2 linked regions of the Tribolium castaneum genome follow. The protein of the gene in region 1 interacts with the protein of each later gene in a pairwise test. Links are inferred from orthologs where the notes say so. Each region holds a gene or a part of one and is shown on either strand. Other genes may lie near its edges.

The links.
Region 2: the proteins of epidermal growth factor receptor kinase substrate 8-like protein 2 (region 1) and Su(dx) interact in a two-hybrid assay, tested with the Caenorhabditis elegans proteins (2 studies listed by BioGRID). The link is inferred for Tribolium castaneum from reciprocal best matches to the Caenorhabditis elegans genes eps-8 and wwp-1.

What each region holds. Positions count from the first base shown.
Region 1 is NC_087403.1:4,530,445-4,534,368, reverse strand, and holds the start of epidermal growth factor receptor kinase substrate 8-like protein 2, read right to left. Parts: upstream 3,016-3,924; 5' UTR 2,853-3,015; intron 2,822-2,852; exon of another isoform or gene 2,332-2,821; intron 2,279-2,331; 5' UTR 2,252-2,278; coding exon 2,003-2,251; intron 1,955-2,002; coding exon 1,808-1,954; intron 1,515-1,807; exon of another isoform or gene 1,273-1,514; coding exon 584-1,272; intron 95-583; coding exon 1-94.
Region 2 is NC_087398.1:5,360,874-5,364,797, reverse strand, and holds the start of Su(dx) (E3 ubiquitin-protein ligase Su(dx)), read left to right. Parts: upstream 1-1,315; 5' UTR 1,316-1,622; intron 1,623-1,701; 5' UTR 1,702-1,729; coding exon 1,730-1,784; intron 1,785-2,795; coding exon 2,796-3,924. Other genes in the region: RNA-binding protein NOB1, read right to left, coding at 1-955, 1,004-1,078. UniProt on the Caenorhabditis elegans protein: E3 ubiquitin-protein ligase which accepts ubiquitin from an E2 ubiquitin-conjugating enzyme in the form of a thioester and then directly transfers the ubiquitin to targeted substrates. Ubiquitinates klf-1.

The sequences.
Region 1 (3,924 bases):
ATTTGCCTCTAATTCGTCCACAACCGGGTAATCAGGGGACCAACCGTCCATAAAAATCGGGTGGTAAGGCGCCACGTGACCCTTCCATTGATCTCTGCAAGACAAAGGGAAATCTAACACCGGACGGATTCTCTTTCCCAATTTACTCAGGGGCGTGAGATTTTCTTAGCGAATTTAGCTGACTGGCAACAGCAGCTCGGGAAATTCAAATCTTGTTGCCAGCCTTGAATTTTACGGTTTTTTAAACTGTTTTTAACGTACAAATTAGGCCGTAACTGGCTGAATAGAATAAGTTATTTTGCTAGGTTTCAACAAGATAACTTGAAAAATGTTGGTTCCAAAAGAATTGACATCTCAACCAAAGATTCTCTGCCGGTTTCGGCTAAACATTCTAGTTTCTTTCTTACTGAAAAATTGAAATATTCATATCTAAAATAAGTTTTCGTCCAAATTTTTTTTCAAATAGATATTCTGGCAATATCTTTGTAAATAATTTCGGCTTCTTTCAACAATAGATAGGCGAGTTATTTTTATCGCGAAATTTTGACCAATTGTTTGTCAATTTCGTCAAAAATAGCCTTACCTGGGTATAAGCCAGGCGTTTCCTAGCGAGTGCCACAGCTCGGTCTCCTTGCTGGTGACACAGTTCATCAATAAATTGACCGCCTCCCTGGTCAGCAGCGGGGAGACAACTTTTCTGGGAAGTTGTGAATCGGGATAGGTATCATGCGAGGCTTCGACAATCAACGCCAAAGGCGTGAACAAGAAATGCACCAGCTCTGGAGCATTGGGATCGTGAATGTGCGCCTTGAGCTTGGCCAAGAGATTGAACGACAACTTGAACTTTTGGAAAATGTCGATGAACTCCTTCTCCGGGGGCGGTTTCGTCCGCATGGTCAACATGCCGTCCCCCATGTCGCGTTTCTTGCTTTTGCGGCTCCTCCGCCGACGCTCCAACTCCCGGGCGGCGGCGGCGGCATGCTGCAAGCGGGCGATAAACTTTTCGATATCGTCGAAGCAATGGTTCAAAATGGTCACGTCTCGTTCGTATTTTTCGCTAGTTGTCGAACTCGAGTCGTCGTTATTTGCGGTCAGTTCCGAATCGGAACCGTGGTAATCGCCTCGCGGGTCGCGGCTCGGGTTGATAACGTTGTGCGGGGGCGGCTTGTGGGACGGCGGCGGGATGCTGCTTTTGCGGCTTCGAGTCAGGGTTTTGCCCATTCGCAACTGCTTCAAGTCTTCCACCAGGTCGAGCGCGGATATGCTCTGGCACTAGACATCCACGTAAAAACAAATAAATACATCATTTTTTAGAGCACCACGAGCTGGAGTGCGACGAAATACCTTATCAAAATTGTGTATTATTATGCGAGTTTGGGACACGAAGACAATAAACTTGCCTTCATTTCCTTCATAAAAAACATTAATTTAAAAAAAAGTAGAGAGTTTTGTACTACCAGCGTTTTATTGGTACTGCTGACTGACTGAATTTTCTATATTTAATAATTTCGCAAGTAAGTCTTATACAAAAAACTCGTTATGTATTTACAATCATTACAATTATCCCGTATGTCCGATCAAATGCTCCTTGTTCGTTCATTTTATTCGCCCCATAATCTCATCTGATTTAGAGATTATCGCGACCACGCAAATTAATTTCGCTGCCGTAACATCTGATTGATTATCTTGTGTTTTTTGGAAACAGTAATAATTGTTAAAAATCCATAGATTGATAAGATAAATGACGAAAATAAATGAGTGTGTTGGCCGGGGGGCCCGATAAGATGAGCCAGATAGATATGCTCACCTGAAAAATGTGCATTTCTGGTGGATGAGCCGGGTTAGAATTGGCAACGTTAAAAACTAGAATATTGTTGTACATTTCCATGGGATCATGGCTGGTGAAAGCAGTCGGTTCTTGGATGGAGTTGGCCGGGAAGCGCTCCATGACACTCTAAACGTTTTTGTGTAGAGTTGGAGTTTACGTGAGATGATTATTTACCCCAGTTTCGTAATCCATGATTAAGACCCAGGAGCGGTCGAGGCACAGTTGCATTTTTTGCGACCAAATGCCGTTGGTTTTTTCCAACTGGAGCAGCCTCCGCATGCCGTCGGCGGGGTACATGATCCCCGTTTCTTTGGTGACTGTGAAGGTGGCCAGGTGCTCCATGAGATAGGTGGGCTTGTCGCCCCCTTCATCCCGGTACCTGTCCATTTCATCCCCCGAATACCCGTTCGAGCGGTACGCCATATTAACTTAACTTAAGCCACTCAATATCTGGAAACGCGGAGATTATTGTCACGGCTTGATTGATGATAACATTTATCTACTGCGGGATTTAATCTCATTGTATCGTGCGGTTTTTATAAATATTTGTCATTTTGAAGGAATTCGGGCCCTAATAATAATTCTCGACTGAGATTAATTTCCTCTCTTATGCCACACCTTCAGCCATACTGGAATGCAAGGAATGTCAACAATTCCTCAGGACGTACTTTTACGGACAAAACTGCATGTATTTATTGTGAATATTAATGGGCTAGCTGTTGCGAACTAAATTTGGACACGAAGGGCGTGGAGTGCGCGGGAATATTTTAATTCGCAACAGTTGTAATAACCCGAAACTTGATTTCATCAACTTGTGATGACGCAGAGAGTAATAATGGGTTAAATGAGGCAAATTCGATTTATTAACGAAGCTTGTGAAATACACATATGTGTGTGAATAGTTTGGCGCAAAAGCCATCGTGGCGACCATATCACAATAGCATGAATACAGTAACAATAACAGTATTATTAAATTTTTACCTCACGGACTTTTAAATCAGCCCTTTACCCGCCACATACTCACCGTAAATACGAATCAACAAGTCGCAACACTATCACTCATTACTAAAAATAATTGATTAGCACATTTCACACTAATCACAACGAAATTAAAATGTTTTATATTTACAGGTGGGCTACTCGTATCTTACCTGTCAGGTAAGCTAAATGACTTTGCACATGCGTACAAGAACCTACCTGTAGATTGGAGAAGCGCTGGAAACTGTCACAAAACTAACCTAACATAACACAGAAAAAAAAATTTTGCATATTTTTTTCTGACCAAAAACTAGCCCCAACCTTTTTTCGAAATACCTTTGGGCTCTCTTAAGAGCTATCATTTGGAAAATTCAAACATCAGAGGAAATTGAAGAAAGGGGAAGAAGCAGAAGAAACCGAAGTATTACTAGTTACCTACCCTACAATTAATGCAATTACAAAATTTGTTAAATATTAATTGCTGATTGTTTTTGAATAAGCTTAAAAATATAAGATAACAGCGACCTGTGATGTAATAATTAAATGATTAATTTTTTGTGAGTTTGACTTTAACAAGTGTTTTGCAACTAATTTAGTCACAATAAAATTAATTTTTTTACACCTTTCGGTTGTATTATTGCCTTAAAAACCACCCCACACAATAGAATCCCAAGTTCAGTAAAATTGCTCTGTAAATCTTTGTTACAATTTTTTAAATTCATGATCAAATATTGTTATTTTCTCTGTGATTTGAAAAGAAACAGGTAGGAGGTACCTATGTAATAATAATATATTGAAAAAAAAAATACAAACGATGTTACCTCATTTTTTATGAAAATCATATCAGCCATTGATTGGATGCTTATTTAATAGTTTTTTCAGTGTGTTGTTTTGATATTTCAATGTTATGTTTGTTTAACTGAAGCGGCAAATTTTTTTTAATCATTCTGATTAGAATTTTTCTGTTTTGTTGTCAGTAAAATGTATACTTACGTGATGGCTGTAACACACATAGGTGACGAATAAAGAGAGCATAAAACCGCATTCTTTGGCTTAATTATACTGGTCCCAATACATTTTAGACGGTTGTGGAAAATCGCATTCCATCTACGTTTCAC
Region 2 (3,924 bases), on another chromosome or scaffold:
TTTGGGGCATGGGGTGGTCCTCGGCCAGGATCGGGTTATTCGGGTGCTTCCCCCCTTTCATTCGCGGCAAACTGAACTTCTTGCCGCGCGCCGTTAGAGGGCGCTTTGCGTTGATGTGTATTTGGAGTTTGCCGTCTTCGTTAAGTGAGACCGCCACTTTTTTGAGCGTGTTGAGGCCACATTTGGGGCAAAATTTCTTCGTCATGATGCTCGTAGTCTTGAAGCAGGCGTAACAACGCAGGATGTAGGTCCGGAGTTGTTTGATCATGCGGCCGTCAAGGGCGGCCACATTGAGGTTCATCTGTTTGAGGACGTTTTGCATCGCGAAGTCGGTGGTCATGCAGGCGATCTTCACGTGTTTTTCCTCAATGAGCTGGGAGTTGACTTGTTTTTTGGCCTGGGAGACGTTGGAAGGGGTGATCCAGCCACTGTCGTCATCGTCATCTTCGTCGGAATTTGATCCAGAGATGTCGCTAGCGTCGTCAACTGGCACCAGAACGTCATGATCCTCGCTTGTTTCCTCGTCAGCGCATTCAATTGTTTCGAATTTTTGTTGCAATTTCTCAATTTCATCTGTTTCTTCATTTGTTTCTCCTGGTCTATCTTTTATTTTTGTGTGTCCTGGCAGGAAAAACCCTGTTACGTCAGGATGTAAATCGACAGTTGGCCCTGTGGTGGTCACAGTCCTCTGGAAGACGGGTTCAGTACGCAGGTGCTCCACCCCAACCGCTTCCTTCTCCAACTGATACGTAAGAGCCATAACTTGGATATCGGTGGCAGACAGACTTGGGTAATCCCCGGTTTTCTTTGCAAATTCTGTCACAATTTTGATATTTTCCGGAAAAACCTCCTTGACCTGAAGGTCATAAGGCAAAACCACCAAACGTTTGAGCTGTCTTTTGTTCAAAATTTCGTCAACGACACTTTGACATGTGACCATTTTCTCCGCAACGTCCTACAAGCGTAAGGTTATAAAGTGGTAATTACAGACGAGATCACGTACTTGTAATGGGGCGTTTTGGATAAAAGCAGTCGTATCGACAACCAAACACTCAATTTTCTTGTCTCCGGCCCCCATTTTGTTGACACACGTGGAAAAATGACACTTGGATGAGGATGACACTTGTTGCCAACAATACGACCAAAGACCCCAGTTTATTGCCAAAACGGGCTTATTTGTGTAAATAATGCCGTGGTAGGTTTGAGCAAGCCTCAAATTAGTTTACCGGGTCATAATAACACAAACAATTTGCGTAATCTCGCCCAAAATCGTGATCAATGAGTTATTTTACTTTGCTCCGGTTGGCGACATTGTGCGTATTGGAGAATGGAGTGTGTGCTTTACATGGAGGCCAATTTTCGGTCAGTTCGTAAATAACGAGTGTTTGTGTGTGAAAAAACGGTGTGGGGCCCCCGTGACTCTCGATTTGAGGTGTAAAGTGTCCGTCAATCGTGTGTGAAATAATTTGGCTGTTTTCTCTGACGTGTCGGTGATCACACTGTTATCACTTTTACGTCATTACTTGGCTACTCTGTCGGTGAAATTTCATGTTTTTATCAAAATTCAAGCGTTCTATTGTTAAGATTATCACCATTATCATAACGGAGTGAGGCCACCACAAGTAAGTTTTCGTTTCGGTTGTAATGTGTCAAGTTGATGTTTTTGGCCGAAATGCGGTCTCAGCTGATGCTTGGTTTTAGTTATCACCGTCTCGATGAGCAGTTCTAAATGATGGACCCTTCAGCCGATCAGGGGTCCGGCTTCCATCAGCTCGGCATCACAGGTATGTCCCCGAAATCTCCGATAAGGAGCGCAAATATTTGGGCAAAGTCTTAGAGACAACAGTTTCACCTGATTACACAACGTGTGTGGCAAGGTTTTGTTGTTATTTGTTTCTAATAGCGTTCGGCGGTATTGCTAATTGCACAATAGGTAGCTCCTAATTAATTTACTGGACCGATTTGTATTTGTTTATGTTTAGAAAGTGAAAAATGTTGCGATAGTCCGCTACGCCTCGATTATTCTAATTAGAATTAAGAATTGCAGGGGAACAAGTCGGCTATTACGAGAAAGTCGCATTAATTACAGTCTTCATAAATTATGGAACTTGGGATGGCACGTCCCAGAAACACGCGTCATAAAAAGTGTAATTTCCAACATTTAGGATCAATTTTATCGATCCGGCGACAGTTGTGACTAATCCTTTCGATGACAGGACAAAAGTGTCGACACATTTTTCAGGTGCAATTTCACGTGATAATATCACCTATTTGCTTCAAGGACACACAGAGTGGCCAAGTAACCAAATCACCACATTTGAGACTTGTCTCGCATTTTTAAGGCACCGTTTCCTGTTGTTGTTATTATTATGTGACCTACTAAGCATAATATTTTGGTTTTTATCGCGTGATTACCAGTCGTGACATCATTTTGCGACAAAAACTCGGGGGAAATATGAGCAAATTTAATAATCGTACTCATTGGTATTTTTTTATCTTTTATCGCGAGTTGTTTTGTTTGCTTTATTTTATTGTAGGTTTTCCCGAATAACGTGCTTCATTATCTTTAACACCATTATCTTTAAATGTTTGATTATTTTTCATCGAGCTTTGGATAAAAATAAAACAAAACTTTGAACTATTGTCTCCAACATTTTTGAGATTTTTATGTTGCTTGAAACATTCCGTGAAAAATGCAATCCATGTTGCATTTTTATTGGCAAGGTCGAAGTTTACAAACAACCGATAAGCTTTTTGTTATTAAATCGCTACAAAAATGCTATTTTATTTTTCAGTCGAGTGCGCCCACCTCCGTAACAGTTCCTTCATCAAGCCCTCCACGTACGTGGAAATCAGCGTGGACGGTGGCTCCCCCCGGAAGACCGAATGCGTGAAAAACACCGCTCAACCGAAATGGAACGAAACCTTCACCCTCCTCGTCACCCCCCACTCAAAAATAAACTTCGTCGTCTACGACAAGAACAATTTCCGCAAAGACACCCTCGTGGGCGAGAAAAAAGTCGAACTTTTCCAAATGTTGCAGCATTTCAGCGGCCGCTGCGAAAACCTTGAACTCACACTGGATCTCATGAACGAAAACAAGACCGAATCGCCGGCCAAAGTCGGCGAATTAATTTGCGTATTTCAAGGCTTGACCGTCGACATGTCCAAGTTTCACAAGCCGGGGCCGAGTGCGACCCCCCTCATGCAAAACAACTGCGAAGCGCAGAGCGTCTCCAATCGCAGCGTCTTCAACGGAATTCGGGCGAAAGTGCGCAATGTCGGAACGGAGAACGTCGTTCCGACGGCGTCGCGAGCCTCCACGGCCGAGAGGCGCACCTCGCGCACGGCGCTGTCGCCCACCACGCCCATGCCCAACGGCACCATCGGCCCCCCGGCCACGGTGCCCAACGGCAACGCCGTGCACAACAGCGACGGCGAGGACGGGAGGGCCGAGGAGCCGCTGCCCCCCGGCTGGGAGATGCGGTATGACACCTACGGCCGCCGCTACTACGTGGACCACAACACGCGCTCGACGTCGTGGGAGCGCCCCCAACCGTTGCCCCCCGGCTGGGAGATGCGGCGCGACCCCCGCGGGAGGGTCTACTACGTCGACCACAATTCGCGCACCACCACCTGGCAGAGGCCGAATTCGGAGCGGTTGGAGCACTTCCAGCAGTGGCAAGGCCAGAGACAGCACATTGTCCAACAAGGCAACCAAAGGTTTCTCTACCCGCAGTTTCAGCCTGGACCCATGCCTGGCACTTCAGTTGTGGATGATGAGGACGATGGTTTGGGGGCCTTGCCGCCCGGATGGGAGAAGCGAGTGCAACCGGAAGGACGAGTGTATTTCGTTAATCACAAAAATCGGACCACGCAATGGGAGGATCCGAGGACTCAAGGACGGGAGGTTATTGACGATAT